2 linked regions of the Oryctolagus cuniculus genome follow. The protein of the gene in region 2 interacts with the protein of the main gene of each other region in a pairwise test. Links are inferred from orthologs where the notes say so. Each region holds a gene or a part of one and is shown on either strand. Other genes may lie near its edges.

Region 1 (7,290 bases), on a different chromosome or scaffold from region 2:
GCCCCGCCCCTCCCTCAACTCCCCCAGCCCTGCCCTTCCCTGCATTCCCCAGCCCCCCCCTCCAGCCTGGCCTCAGGGCCTTCCATCTTCCAGACCCTTCTTTCTTTCCTGTTTTTCCCTCTATGACCCCAGGGAGTGCTTCCTGGGGCGGCAGCCTTGGACAGGGCCACCCTCCCTCCCAGTCCCCAGAGGAGGGTCCTTCGGGCTTCGGGGTCCTAGGTGTTACCTGGCTGTGGCCGCGTGGCTCCAGCCTCTGCCTCTGCCGACACCTGGCCCTCTCCTCTCCCCCTAGGGACACTCGGTTTGGACTCAGGCCCACGCGGGTACCGCTGGTGATCCCGGCCCAAGTCCTCCCTGTCTGCGGAGGGCTCTGCCCGGGGAGGCGTGGTCCCGGGTTCCGGGCTTGGACTGGGACACAGGCCCTCGGGGAGCCCACGCAGGTCCATCTGGTGTCTCCCCAGGGGCTGGCCAGGCCACCCGTCCACCAGGGCCCCGCTGCTTCCGGGAGGCTGGGTCCTGACTGTAACAGGCCCAGGGTCCTCCCTGTGCTCACATCACGGGCTGCGGGGGCGGGGGAGGCTGGCAGGGCTGGGGTGGGGCAGCTTGAGACTGCGGGGGTCCCCCAGGGCAGCGGGTGGCCTGCCTGGAAGAGGCTGGCTGGCGGGCAGAGCAGCCCCAGGACCGACCCTGGGTCTTGTCTGTTACTGGTGCCCGGGGACTCTGGGCAGCTGTGGCCTGCTGGTGGGTGAGGGGCCGTGGCGGCGTGGGGTCCGGCTTGAGCTGTGGTCCCTGGGAACCCCGTGCTCCCGGGCGAGGCGTGGAATGTCTCCAAAGCCTGTGTTGCCAGTTGCCCTGCGGGGTGGGGGGTGAGGGGACCTCGGGCGGGGCCGCCACGATGCCTCCTGACGTGGCCGCGACGTGCCGTGGTGACCCGTGGGTGCAGGCAGGACCGCGGCAGAGCAGCACCCCAGGGCCCGGCCGTCACGCGTGGGGCCTCCCTGAACACGCGAGGAATGCGTCTCACGAACAAACCATGCATGGATGTCCACGTGTCTTTTGTACCAAAATAAAGTTCATTGTGAAATTCTCAAAGCCCCGCCCCCAGCCCAGGATCAGCCTGGGGGAAGTGGGGTTTCCCAGGGTGTCCCCCCCAGGCCCCTGACACCCACGAGAGGGAGGGGCGCTGAGCCCAGGCCGCGCAGTGGGCCTGGACACGGCGCACGGGCGCCCCCCGCTGGCGGGAGGCGGGAAGGCGTGCGCCAGGCCGGCAGCCGGGTGTCCCCGGCCCGGGTGGGCTCCATGTGCTGGCCGCCGTGGGGTCGCACAGGGCAAACGCAGCCGCCGCCGGCTCCGGCGGGCCCCCTGCGCGATCTCGTCTGCGGCACCCACCTGCGCGCTCGCAGACGGGAGGGGAAGGGCAGTGGGCGCCTTCAAAGCCCCTACCACGTGCCTGCAGCCTGGGGCGGGGGAGCCGTGGGAGGAGGGTGCTGTCCCGCCCCCAACCCGGTGCTCAGGTGTCAGTTACTCTCCTAACACTCGCCGGTGCGTTTATTTCCCGCACGGTCAGTGTCCATCCCTCTTCGTGGGCACCAGGATTCCGCCCATTTCACAGCCGGGAAAACTGAGGTGCGGGAGGACGCAGCTCACCAACGTTGCCTGGAGGAGGAAGCTGGCAGGGGGGCCGCCCGCCCCTGCTGCCCTGGAGACCCCAGCCTTGGGGACGGGTTAGCCCTGCAGCCCGCGGGTGGAAGGGAGGCGGCTCCCCTGCCCCGGGAGGAACAGAGCCGGGGGCCGTCTGTCCGAGGAGGTGGGGCTGTTGTGCTCCCCCCCCCCGCCCTCTGGGGGCGCTGAGGGTCAGGACCCCAGGGTGAGTCCTGCCTGGCCGGCCAGGGTGGGTCCTCGTCCAGCCACACGCGGGCCCTGGGCCTGCTCTGGAAAGAAATGTGGTCCCCTGGTCCCTCCCTGGACGGAGACGACCCCAACACGACGCTCAAACTCAGCCTGGGCCCGCAGTCCGGCCAGCAGCTCGGCTCTGGACCACAGGCCGCGGCCAGGCCGGAGCTCAGCCCTGGGGCACGGCCAAGGCCCCCCCCCCCCTGCGGCCAGCCCCTAGGGCACAGCAAAGCCCCCCCCACTGCGGCCAGGCCCTAGGGCACAGCAAAGCCTCCCCCCCCCCCCCGTGCGGCCAGCCCCTAGGGCACGGCCAAGCCCCCCCCCCACTGCGGCCAGCCCCTAGGGCACGGCCAAGCCCCCCCCCCCCCCACTGCGGCCAGGCCGGAGCTCAGCCCTAGGTCACGGCCAAGCCCCCCCCCCACTGCGGCCAGCCCCTAGGGCACGGCCAAGGCCCCCCCCCACTGAGACCAGCCCCTAGGGCACGGCCAAGCCCCCCCCCCCCACTGCGGCCAGGCCCTAGGGCACGGCAAAGGCCCCCAGCCTCCTACTGCGGCCAGGCCCTAGGGCACGGCCAAGGCCCCCCCCCACTGAGACCAGCCCCTAGGGCACGGCCAAGCCCCCCCCCCCCACTGCAGCCAGGCCCTAGGGCACGGCCAAGGCCCCCCCCCCCACTACTGCGGCCAGGCCGGAGCTCAGCCCTAGGTCACGGTCACAGCGCAAGGCCCGCCCGCCCGCCCGCCCGGGGGCCTCCCGAGCGCCCGAGGAGCCGGCTGGAGAACGCACTTCTTCTGGGCGCAGGGCCGCCCGCGGGTCCGGCTCGGACAGGTCCTGCCGAGAGGTCAGCGGGGGGGACTCTGCTCCTTGGGGCCTGGCCTGGCTTTTCCCGGGGGGCAGAGGCAGGCTCGCTCCACACTTCGAACAGGCCAAGGTCCCCCGAGGTGACCGCAGCCCCAGGGCGACCGGGGAGGGCGTGGCTGAGTGGGCGCAGCGGCTCAGACCTGGGGAGACCCCCGTCCCCGGGCCGTGCACCTGCGTGGGAGACCCGCACGGAGCTCCGGGCTCGGCCCGGCCGTCTCGCCGCCGGAGGGGAGGGTCTCGGAGCCCCCCGCCCCACAGGCCGCAGGCGGAGCGCCCTGAGGAGTAGGCGCTCGGGCCGCCTTTCCTGTCTCCTCCTTCCCGGGCCACTTTTTGGCGACTCGGTTTCATCTGCTTGGGTTTAAAAAAAAGAAATCCCACACGGGAGCCGCCGCAGCCACCGCCGCCGCGCGCGACCGAGCGGGCGGGACGCCGCGGACCGGAGCGGGCGGCGCAGGCCCACTGCGCACGCGCGCGCGCCATCTGGCCCTTCCCGCGCGCCGTCCTTACCCAGCCTGCCCCGCGCGGCCGCTGCCGGAAGTGGGCTCGCTGCCTCCGCGGGAGCGGCGCGCGCGTTCGTGTCCGCGGTCCCCGGGGCCGGCCGGCGGCGGGCGGGGGCGGCCCGGTCGGCGCCATGGCCGGGAGCGAGGACGTGTTCGATGCCATTGTGATGGCGGATGAGAGGTGCGTGCGGGGCCGGCTGCCGGCCCGCCTCCCCGCTCGGGGGCGGCCCCCGGCATCTGCTCGCCCCTCTCTCTGCGGGGACGGGCCGTGGCCATCTGGGGGCCGCAGACACCCGGGCCAGACGCCGCCGGCCCCCGTCTCCTCGCGGGGGTCCCCGGGGGGCGCCGGGGCGGGGGCGGGCGGAGCTGGGGGCCGCCCGCGGATGTCTTTGCTGACAGGCGGGCGGGGGGTCGCGGGACCACCTGTCGCCGGCATTTGTCCGGCGCGCCGGCTCGCCCTCGCCCTGTTTCACGGCTGAGCAGGCACAGCCGCCCCGGGGCTCCGGGGGCGCGGGGCGCAGGTGGGGGCGGCGCCGGGTCCCCGTGCGTGCGTTTGGCGCGGGCGGAGGTGGTGCGCGCCCCCGGGCCGCCCTGCGTTTCGGTGCTCGGCCACGTCGCCCACCCCTCACCGCGGCCGTGGGCGCTGGGGCGTTGCGCGTGGGCGTGGCCCTGCCCCTCGGGCTCGGGGGACCGACCGGCTTCTCCGCGCAGGTTTCACGGGCAGGGCTACCGGGAAGGCTTCGAGGACGGCAGCAGCCTGGGCGTGCGCGAGGGCAGGCGCCACGGCGCGGCGCAGGGAGCCAGGATCGGCGCCGAGGTGAGCGTGGGCCGTCCCCTCCCTCTGCCCCGCCGCGTGGGTTTCGGGGGCGCCCACGGCCTCGGCTTGAAAGGCGGGGCGACGGAGCTTCCCCACGTGCCTGCAGCAGCTGGAGCCGCGGGCCTGGAGCGCCGCCCGGTCTCCCGTCGGTGTCTCCATCCGGGTCTCCCGTCGGGTGGCTCCTTCCGGGTCTCCCACGCGGGTGGCTGCATCCGGGTCTCCCGTGCAGGTGGCTCCATCCGGGTCTCCCGCGCGGGTGGCCCCTCCCGGGTCTCCTGTCGGGTGGCTCCATCCGGGTCTCCCGTGCAGGTGGCTCCATCCGGGTCTCCCACGCGGGTGGCTCCATCCGGGTCTCCTGTCGGGTGGCTCCTCCCGGGTCTCCCGTGCAGGTGGCTCCATCCGGGTCTCCCGTGCAGGTGGCTCCATCCGGGTCTCCCGTCGGGTGGCTCCATCCGGGTCTCCCGCGCGGGTGGCCCCTCCCGGGTCTCCTGTCGGGTGGCTCCATCCGGGTCTCCCGTGCAGGTGGCTCCATCCGGGTCTTCCGTCGGGTGGCTGCATCCGGGTCTCCCGCGCGGGTGGGGCCCTCATCGGCGCCCCCGCCCGGGTCGCACCCGCAGGGAGCCGCTTGCAGCGTGGGTGCGGTGTCCCGAGTGGTGTCCCGAGCTCCCGCCCAGAGACGGGCGCCTGCGTCGGTGGAGAGGAGCCCTCCGCGGCCCACGCTGGCCCCCACGGAGCAGGCGGTTGCGCCCAGTATCGTCCGGAACTCGGGAGAAGCCGCCCTGGGTGCTCGGCCGTGGGCCACCCGCGGGGGCGGCCGGACACGCCAGGGCCTTGGGGCTGGGGCTGCGCTGGTGTCGGCCTGCTGACCGCGGCTCCCGGCCCCGCCCCGCTGACCGCGGCTCCCGGCCCCGCCCCGCTCACAGCTGTCCGCTCCACAGATCGGCTGCTATCGAGGCTTCGCCCTGGCGTGGAGGCACCTGCTGCGGGGCTGTGCGGCCGAGGACAGGTGAGGGCGCGGCCTGGCAGCCGCTGTGTGTCCGCCCGAGGGCGGCCAGGCCTGCGCGTCGGGCGTGTGCGAGGTGGGCGCCGGTGGCCGCGGGGGCCCCGTGCTGCCCATCTGCTCCTTGCCGGCACCGATACCAGGTGGCTCCTGGGTGCCGCCTTCTCGTGGGCCCGCCCCGACGTCCACTGCCGCCGCCGGGTGGTGGGCACTCGGAAATGGGGCTCCCGCACCGCTAGGTTTTGTTTACTTATTTATTTTAAATCCTTCCTTCCTTCCCTCCTTCCTTCCCTCCTTCCTTCCTTCTTCTTTCTTTCTTTCGATATATTCATTTTATTTGAGAGACAGAGTGATAGAGAGAGGGAAAGACAGAGTCTTCCGTTGGCTGGTTCACTCCCCAAGTGGCCGCAACGGCCAGGACTGGGCCAGGCCGACACCAGGAGCCGGGAGCTTCCTCCAGGTCTCCCACGTGGGTGCAGGGCCCAAGCACCCGGGCCGTCTTCCACTGCTTTCCTAGGCCACAGCAGGGAGCTGGATGGGAAGAGGAGCAGCCGGGACTTGAACCGGCGCCCATGTGGGATGCTGCGCCACAAAGCTGGCCCCGCCTCTAGATCTGTCAGTTTAGAGAGGTGGAGAGAGCCCCGTCCATTTGTTCCCGACTTGTCCACAGGAACCCAGCTGCGCGAGCCGTCCCTGCTGCCCCGGGAGCCGCGTTAGCACAGCTCTGCGGTCGGGGGCTGGCGGCGGGATCGGACCAGGCCCTCTGCTGCAGGCCAAACGCCCGCCCACGCCGCCCGCCGAGCCTGGCAGCGAGGCAGCGCACCGGGCGCGGTTCTGGGACGTGCTGGGTGGCCGCGTGGGCGGCGTCACAGCCTTCGGAAGCTGCCTCCCGTGGTCCCCGGCTCTGGGCTGCACTTCCTCCTTGCCCGCTGTGGCCTGGCCTGGCCGGCAGGGGCACCAGGAGGCAGGAAAGGCGACGTCCCGTCCATGTGACCCGTCCGTGTGACCGACCTCTTGGTGGACACATCCTGAGTTTCTGGGGTGGGCCGGCCCGTGTTCACGGTCAGCGCGAGGGGCTTGCCGCTGGGGAGAGGGGGTCCTGGCCCAGGTTCACCCTGGGGGACTCCCCCAGGGCTGGGAGTGCAGGGCGGGGCTGGGCCGTGTGGGCGGCTGTGTGCAGCCCTGCTGCCACTGGGTGGCAGTCCGCGCCAAGCTGGGCTCTGGGCTCCGTCCACAGGAGGAGGAGGGCCCTGCCTGCTGTCCCCGCTGTCCCAGCGGCAAGTCTGGCCGGGGCGGGGTGCTGCGTGTGTGTGTGCACACGTGAGGGCGTGTACGTGTGCATGTGTGTAAGAGTTCCCACAGCCAGGAGGCTGCCAGCCCTCACCCTGGCGGGGCTCCCGGGTCACCGGGTGCGTGGGGGCTGCTCAGGAGAGCCCCGTGGGCCCACTGTGCTGCGCCCACCCAGCCAGCAGTGCCAGGGCTCTGTTTCCTGAGGCCTTCCGGCACGGTGTGGCCTGTGGGTCAATGCGGTCTTTCTGTGGTGTCCTGGCGCCGCGTCCCGCTGCCGCGCAGGGAATCAGCAGGACGACGGCTCAGGCCCCGCGTGGGAGACCTGGGTGGAGCGCCGGGCTCTGCTGGTGTCTGGCCCAGGCTTGGCTGTCGCAGCCATTTGGGGGGAGTGAACCAGCAGCTGGAAGACCTCTCTCTCTCTCTCGCTCGCTCGCTCTCTCGCTCTCGCTGCCTTTCAGAAATCAGCAGGTTGATCTTTAAGGGGCGCGGTGCGGACAGGGGTCTCCTTTTAGTTTTTCCAAGTGACAGGAAAACACCTTCCGTGTTGTCGCGCGCTGTGAGCTGGCCAGGGGAGGCGGCGGCCTGGCCTAGTCGGTGGGCGCAGCCCTTCCCTCTGCCACGGAGCAGAGCCCAGGGGGCAGAGAGACAGAGCTTCCGTCCGCAGGTTCCCTCCCCAGATGGCCGCACCAGACAGGGCCGGGCTGGGCCGAGGCCAGGAGCCAGGAGCTTCTTCCGGGTCTCCAGACACTTGGGGCGTCTTCCTGTGCTTTCCCAGGCCATTAGCAGGCACTGGATGGGAAGTGGAGCAGCCGGGCCTTGAACTGGTACCCATCTGAGATGCCAGTGTCGCAGGCTGCGGCTTCACCCACTAGGCCACAGCGCCGGCCCCACGGTAGCTCTGTAGCTGGTCGGCCGTGGCAGCCGTTAGCTCG
Region 2 (7,299 bases):
CTTCTGGGTCTCTCTTGCAGGTACAGGGGTCCGAGGACTTGGGCCATTTTCTACTGCTTTCCCAGGCCATAGCAGAGAGCTGGATTTGAAGTGGAGCAGCTGAGACTTGAACTGCTGCCTTCATGGGATGCTGGCACTGTAGGCAGCAGCTTTACCTGCTTCGCCACAGTGCTGACCCCTTGAGCAGCTTTTAAACCTATGGAGGCCCAGGTTGCACCCCAGACCAATTATAGTTGCTTATCATCTACACTGAAGGCTAGTGAAAAAGAATTTTAAAGATATTTCATTTTTTCAGGTTTGTTACAGAGTAGGTTATTGTTTGATGGATTATAAACTATTTTCTTGAAAAAGGTAAAAATTCTTCTAGTCCTATTAGATTTAATATTTTCTTTACTTTTACTTTATGGTCAAATTTTTTTTAAGTATTTCAGATTGTTCAGATAATCATGTCATAAAATAGCGGTTGTTATGAAAAGTAATGTTTTACAAATGGAATTGATTGATATACAAAAATTCAGGGGCTGGCGCCGCGGCTCACTAGGCTAATCCTCCACCTTGCGGTGCCGGCATACCAGGTTCTAGTCCCGGTCGGGGTGCCGGATTCTGTCCTGGTTGCCCCTCTTCCAGGCCAACTCTCTGCTGTGGCCCTGGAGTGCAGTGGAGGATGGCCCAAGTCCTTGGGCCCTGCACCCCATGGGAGACCAGGAGAAGTACCTGGCTCCTGCCATCGGATCACTGTGGTGCCGCGGCGGCCATTGGAGGGTGAACCACTGGCAAAGGAAGACCTTTCTCTCTGTCTCTCTCTCTCACTGTCCACTCTGCCTGTCCAAAAAAAAAAAAAAAAAAATTCAGCAGTGGGGCTGGCACTGTGGTACAGCAGGTTAGGCCAATGCCTAGGATGCCCACACCCCATGTTGTAGTGCCATTTGCAGTCCCGGCTACTCTGCTTCCAATTCAGTTCCCTGTGAACGTGTTTGGGAGGTGGTAGATGATAGCTCAGGAGCTTGAGCTCCGGAAACCTATGTGAGAGACATGGATGTGGTTTCTGGCTCCAGGCTTGTTGCAGTCATTTGGGGAGTGAACCAGCAGATGGTAGGTACATCTCTGTCTCTTTCACACTGCCTTTAAAATATATAAATGAATAAATATTTAAAAATTCAGCAGTAAGCTAAGCTTATAAAAGATTAATTTAACTTGATGTGAAGATGAACACTTGATCAATATCCTACTATAGTATACTAATTCTAGTTTGTGACTTAATTAATGAATTAAAATTAATTCTAGTTCTAGTTGACTTTTCTAAAATGCCAAACACAACTTTTTGCTTTGTTTTACTAATTTTTTAGCTTCTAAAATTATTAGTGATTCTTTAAAGCAGCTTTCTCTCCAGAGGACAGCTTGAAAGGTATAAAGCAGGAGCTGGCATTGTGGTGTAGCAGGTACGGCTGCCATCTGCAATGCCTGCAATCCACAGGGGCATGGGTGCCGGTTCAAGTCCTGGCTGCTCAATTTCTGATTCTGCCCCTGGCTAATGGCCTGGGAAAAGCAGTGGAGGATGGTCCAAGTGCTTTGGCCCCTGCTAGACATGTGGGAGACTGCAAGAAGCTCCTGGCCTCGGCCCGGCTAGGTGCTGGCTGTTGTGGTCTTCTGTGGGGATGAACGAGAAGATGGAAGACCTCTCCACCTCTCTCCCCCTCTCTCTCTCCCCCTCTCTTTAACTCTGCCTTTTAAGTAAATAAATAAGTTAAAAACAACAGTCTAAAGCATCAAGGAGGACAGACCTGTCAGGTCTTAGCTCCATCTGATCATTTGGTTCTGCCATATGCTGTTACTGCCCTGGCTTCCCGACAGGTATTCAATGTTAAGGACTACAATACATGGAATCATTTTACCTTTATTACTCACTACAATTTCCATCTACTTCTAGTTTAGAGGTCTGTCATATTGGGTTCTGCCAAATGTGCAAGTACTAAAAGTTTTATTTAAAGCCTGAAGATCTTGTAATTAGAGACTGGCAGTAATTCTGGTAGCAAAGAGTACACACCCTCTTACTGTTTCCATGCCCAAAAAAGGGACAACAGCTGGCTCACATATTAAAATGGATGAGCTGATAATGATTTTTACTCTTTGAAGGCAACATTCTATGTTTTTCCACACTCTTGTGTATTCAACAGCAGAAAGAAGCACTTTAAATGTTTATTTTTAATATTCATAAAAATCATCCTGTAATATTAAAGATTCAGCATTTAAATTTCTGAATTACCTCAGTGTTCCTCTGAGTTCTCCATAGTTTACAATGATTGCTGCACCTTCTTTATAGCCTTGATTGAAGCCCTGTTGAAGAGCAACTGCTTTGCCAGCATCGATTCCTTCTCTATAGCCTTCCTAAAAATAAGCAATGAACAACTACAGTTGTAACTAATACCAAGTGAACCATATGTAGGCTTTTCTAGAAAGGCACAGACCCAATTTAGAAAACTGATGAAACTGGCTTTTACTGCATTCTTGAAAATAATATGGTATAGCCCCACAAGCAATGCAGGTTATGTTCCTCATAAAAATTTATTACCGGTTTATTGTTCCTTATCCCACTTTTGAAGTGTGTTCTCACCCAGTTTTTAACACCTCTGTTTTAGCAATGTCTTCACAGAAAGGAAACATGGAAACTTACATGTCTGGCCCTCTGGCAACTGAGTGGAAAGGTGTGAGTGGGTGAGGAGACAGAACAAAGTAAGGAAAGGCAAAACTGTTTTAGAAGGAAAGTGAGAAGCCTGGTTTTAGAAATTTTGCTTGATCCTGAAATCCAAGTAAATTCTCTGTGGACAGAAACTTTGTTCTGCATGTCCCAAGTATGTCACAGTACTCAAAAGATGCTTATTATTGGGGCCAGCACTGTGGAAAAGGGGGTAAAGTGGCTGCCTGCAGTGCTGGCATTCCATACAGGCTCTGGTTTGAGTCCTCGCTGCTCCACTTCCGATCCAGCTCTCTGCTATGGCCTGGGAAAGCAGTAGAAGATGGCCCAAGACCTTGGGACCCTGCACTGGGAGGAAGCTCCTGGCTCCTGGCTTCAGATTGGCCCAGCTCCAGCTGATGGGGCTTTTTGGGGAGTGATCCAGCAGATGGGAGACCTCTCTCTCTCTGCTCTGTAACTGTAACTTTGTCTTTCAAGTAAATAAATAAATTCTGAGAGAGAGAGAGAAAGAGAGAGATGTGGCAGTATTGACTGGTCCAGCCTTAGCGTCACATAAAACTTTTTGTAACTGACAACGTGGTTGCTGAACTAAGCAAATATTGTTTTGCTGAAACATTAATTTGGGGCAGATCCCCAATACAGCTTTAGGAGCAATTTAATGGCTGGCAAATATAGTAAGTGGAAGCAACCCCCACCATTTAGTCTTCACCCAGTACTAAGCTCTGAGTACTCCATCTGGAAATTACGCTTAGACTCAACAAATAAAATTAGACATGAATAATTCACATCCAACAAATAAGAAGAAAATTGGTTTTAATATTCCCTTACTTGGTCATCAGTATTCCATCTTAGCTTTCTCCTACTGCCTTTTTTTTTTTTTTTAATATTTACTTGTTTGTTTGAAACGCAAAATTACAGAGATGCAGGGGCAGAGAGAGATCTTCCATCAGCTGGTTCATTCCCAAATGGCTGCAACTGCTGGAGCTGAGCTGATCCGAAGCCAGGAGCTTTTTCTGGGTCTCCCACGTGGGTGCAGGGGCCCAAGGACCTGGGACATCTTCTACTGCTTTCCCAGGCCACGGCAGAGAGCTGCTCAGAAGTGGAGCAGCCGGGACTCGAATCAACTCCCATATGGGATTCGGGCACTGCAGGAGGTGGCTTTACCCGCTATGCCACAGCCCCGACCCCTCTCCTACTGCCTTTAACATTGTAAAGTTCACTTTTTTCGTGTATCTTGGTTAAAACACTCCTAACTCTGGGCTCCCCACCCACTCAAGCTGCCCGTGGAAGCCTGAATGCGCGTCCTTTGACAGCCATAATCAGCAGTCAAGTAATCACTGTATTGGTATGTCTCTCCCCCACCCACTTCCCTGTGATCATCATCAGACAGCAATCGCTTCCAAGTGTGGACAACATGTGTTTTGGTGGGCGTCCCGCTTCTCCAACGCCCTCCCGCAAGCGCTCAAACAACGCGTCTCTGGGGTTCACCCGCTTCCAAGCAACCCACTGGGAAATCCTGGCGGGACGCGGGGCGCACCGCGTGGCAAAGGGTAAGGACGGCGGCGCTAGCCAGACTGGGACCACTGGGACCACGGTGGGCCCGGCTTCTTCACAAACTCGGGGCTCCGCTCCACCACAGCCCGGCACCCCCCGGGGTCCCCGCACCCTTCCCACCCCCCTCCCCCGGCTTTACTTTCACTCGTTTCTGCATGTGACTCCGCCATTCCCGCTGTACCAGGAGCGACTCGTCAGCTTCCTCATCAAACACGTCCCCCTCCTCGGCCGGGCTCTGGACCGAGGGGGTAGCCCGAACCCACGACATCACCGAGATGGCTACGGAGCCGCAGGCAACAGGAAACACCCGCGACTCCTTCCGGTGTGAGGGGCGGGACGAAGACTGCGCTCCTGGCGCTCAGGGCGGGTGCGCGTGCGCCGAGGCGATCCGTCGTGGTTGCGGGCTGTCCAGCCTGACGTCCAGAGCTTTTGGACTCGCGGACTTTGGGACTAAGTCAGTTAACACAGTGTGTCCGTGTGCACCTTGATTCCTTCCTCGGCTGGGGCGTGACCTTGATCAGACCCCGCATTCCTGTCGTAGACTGCAGTGTTCTGGGTGTGGGAGAGGCTCCTTTTGTAAAATCACTCAAGGCGGTTGAGCCAGTACTGCCCAAAGACTGTCTCAGAATCTCAGCGTGTTCAGGGGACGTGACAACCTGACACGGATTGATTGTTAGGAGCTTGGAGCAAAGAGCAAAAGAGTCAGAGAGTGAACTACTGCGGCCCATTTGAGATCAATAGGAAATAGAAAGGTTGCCTTTGCCATCGATACATCTTCCTTGATTCTCAGTATCCTTCGCTGCCTTCCACTCTTGCTCACGTGCGCTAAATGCAAACTGTGATCTTGGCGAGGGCGGGAACTTGTCTGCCCCAGCACCAGCAGGTTCTGACACTGCAGGTGAAAGCACCCCAGTGGCATCCCGTTTTGCCTTTGTTTGTGTGGGTAAATGAGTCCTGTGACAGTCGTGGTTTGTTTGTCTTACCTTTTCTTGAATACCTGTGTGTCTGGATACATTAGTGAATAAAACAGATAAAAGTTCCTAGCCCTTTGGATTTTATTCCTGTAGAATTTGCAGAGCACACACAGCAAACAAATATGAGTAACTTAGGTAGTTTGAAGATTATAAATAATAAATGTTATGAAACAAATTTAAAACAAGTAAAGTAAAGGGAATCCTGAGTGTGTGTGTGTGTGGGGGGGCGAGTGGATGGTGCAGGCTACAGATTTAAATTTTAGAATTTTGCATCTCACAAATATATAACCTGTAAAAGGCATATATTAAGTAAACTCTTAAAAATGTATTTGTTAATTAGAAACAAAATGGCAATAAAGGAATCAATAAAAACAATTGAATAACGTTGACTAGCTGAGCGCATTTAGCCTAGTGCGTGAGATGCTAGCCTCCTGCATTGGAGTGCCTTCATTAGAAGCCAGCCTCTCACTTTGTTTGGAGTGCCTGAGTTTGATGTGCAGCTCTGACTCCTGACTCCAGCTTCCTGCTAATGCAGACCCTGGGAAGCAGTGGTGATAGCGCAAGTGGGTTCCTGCTGCTCACATGGGAGACTTTGATTGCCTTCCCAGCTCCCAACTTTGTCCAGCTCCAGCCTAGATTATCACTGGTATTTTGGGAAGTGAAGCAGTGCCTAGGAGCTCCCCCTCTTTGTCTATCTCTCAAATAAAATTAAAAAATAGAAAATCTTTTTTTGAAAAGATTTATTTATTTGAAAGTCAGAGTTACACAGAGGGAGGAGAGGCAGAGAGAGAGAGAGAGAGAGAGAGAGAGAGAGAGAGAGAGAGTCTTACATCCGCTGGTTCACTCCTCAATTGGCTGCAACAGCCAGAGCTGCGCTGATCCGAAGCCAGGAGCTAGTAGCTTCTTCCGGGTCTCCCACGAAGGAACAGGGGCCCAAGCACTTGGGCCATCTTCTACTGCTTTCCCAGGCCATAGCAGAGAGCTGGATTGGAAGTGGAGCAGCCGGGTCTTAAACCGGCACCCACATGGGATGCCGGCGCTTCAGGCCAGGGCGTTAACCCACTGCGCCACAGTGCTGGCCCCCCAAAATAAAAAAATCTTAAAAACTTGCAAAAATAAATCTAAAAATTGATTCTTGGAAAAAAATCAATAAAATAGATAATCTTGATGTGGTTTTGATTTTAAAGGAGAAAAAGTATAAGATAGGAGTAAAAGAAGAGGCAACCACTGATGTAGAAAAAAAAAGTATTATAAACTACCCACTGAAACTCAGGAGAAATACATTTGAAAATCTAAAATAAATGAATAACTTCTTAACACAGTTGACCCAGGAAGTAGAAAACATGAAGAAACAAATTACTATACAAAAACTGGGATTCAGTCTCTACTATAAAGAACAGGATGGAGACTTAACAGTTTCACAGCTGAGTCTTTTTTAATATTTAAAATATGATAGATAATTTAATATTTTTCTGTTTTAGAGCAGAGAAAATGATAGTAAATTCCTGAATCATTTCATGACACCAGGCTTACTGTAACCTGACAAAGATGGTTAAAAAAAGAAAAAGCAAGCAAACAGAATCAAAAGGCCAGGGACCAGCATTGTGACATTGTGGCATTGTGGATTAAGCTATTACCTTCCAAACCGGCATCCTCTGTGGTCACCAATTTGAGTCCCAGCTGTTCCACTTCTGATCCAGCTCTCTGCTAAAGAGCCTAGGAAAGCAGTAGAAGATGGCCCAAGTACTTGGGCCCCTGCACCCACATGGGAGACCTGGATGAAGCTCCTGGCTTTAGCCTGGCCCAGCCATAGCCATTGCAGCTATTTGGGGAGCGAACCAGCGGATGGTAGACCTCTTTTTCTGTCTCTCCTTCTCTCACTGTAAATCTGCCTTTCAAGTAAATAAATTAATCTTAATTAAGATTTATTTTATTTGTTTGAAAGGCAGAGTTACAGAGAGAGGTAGGGACAGAGAGAGAGGTCTTCCATCCGCTGGCTCACTCCCCAGATGGCTGCACCAGCTGGAGCTGCGGCAATCCGAAGCCAGGAGCCAGGAGCTTCTTCTGAGTCTCCCACGT

The links. The genes of interacting proteins can lie anywhere in the genome.
Region 1: the proteins of YAE1 (region 2) and LTO1 interact in binary tests that used the Homo sapiens proteins (3 or more experiments, as listed by UniProt). The link is inferred for Oryctolagus cuniculus from reciprocal best matches to the Homo sapiens genes YAE1 and LTO1.

Annotation. Positions count from the first base shown.
Region 1 is NC_091432.1:3,226,284-3,233,573, forward strand, and holds the start of LTO1 (protein LTO1 homolog), read left to right. Parts: upstream 1-3,299; 5' UTR 3,300-3,382; coding exon 3,383-3,432; intron 3,433-3,962; coding exon 3,963-4,068; intron 4,069-5,006; coding exon 5,007-5,074; intron 5,075-7,290. UniProt on the Homo sapiens protein: The complex LTO1:YAE1 functions as a target specific adapter that probably recruits apo-ABCE1 to the cytosolic iron-sulfur protein assembly (CIA) complex machinery. May be required for biogenesis of the large ribosomal subunit and initiation of translation.
Region 2 is NC_091447.1:29,674,853-29,682,151, reverse strand, and holds the start of YAE1 (protein YAE1 homolog), read right to left. Parts: upstream 4,583-7,299; 5' UTR 4,515-4,582; coding exon 4,386-4,514; intron 2,386-4,385; coding exon 2,264-2,385; intron 1-2,263. UniProt on the Homo sapiens protein: The complex LTO1:YAE1 functions as a target specific adapter that probably recruits apo-ABCE1 to the cytosolic iron-sulfur protein assembly (CIA) complex machinery. May be required for biogenesis of the large ribosomal subunit and initiation of translation.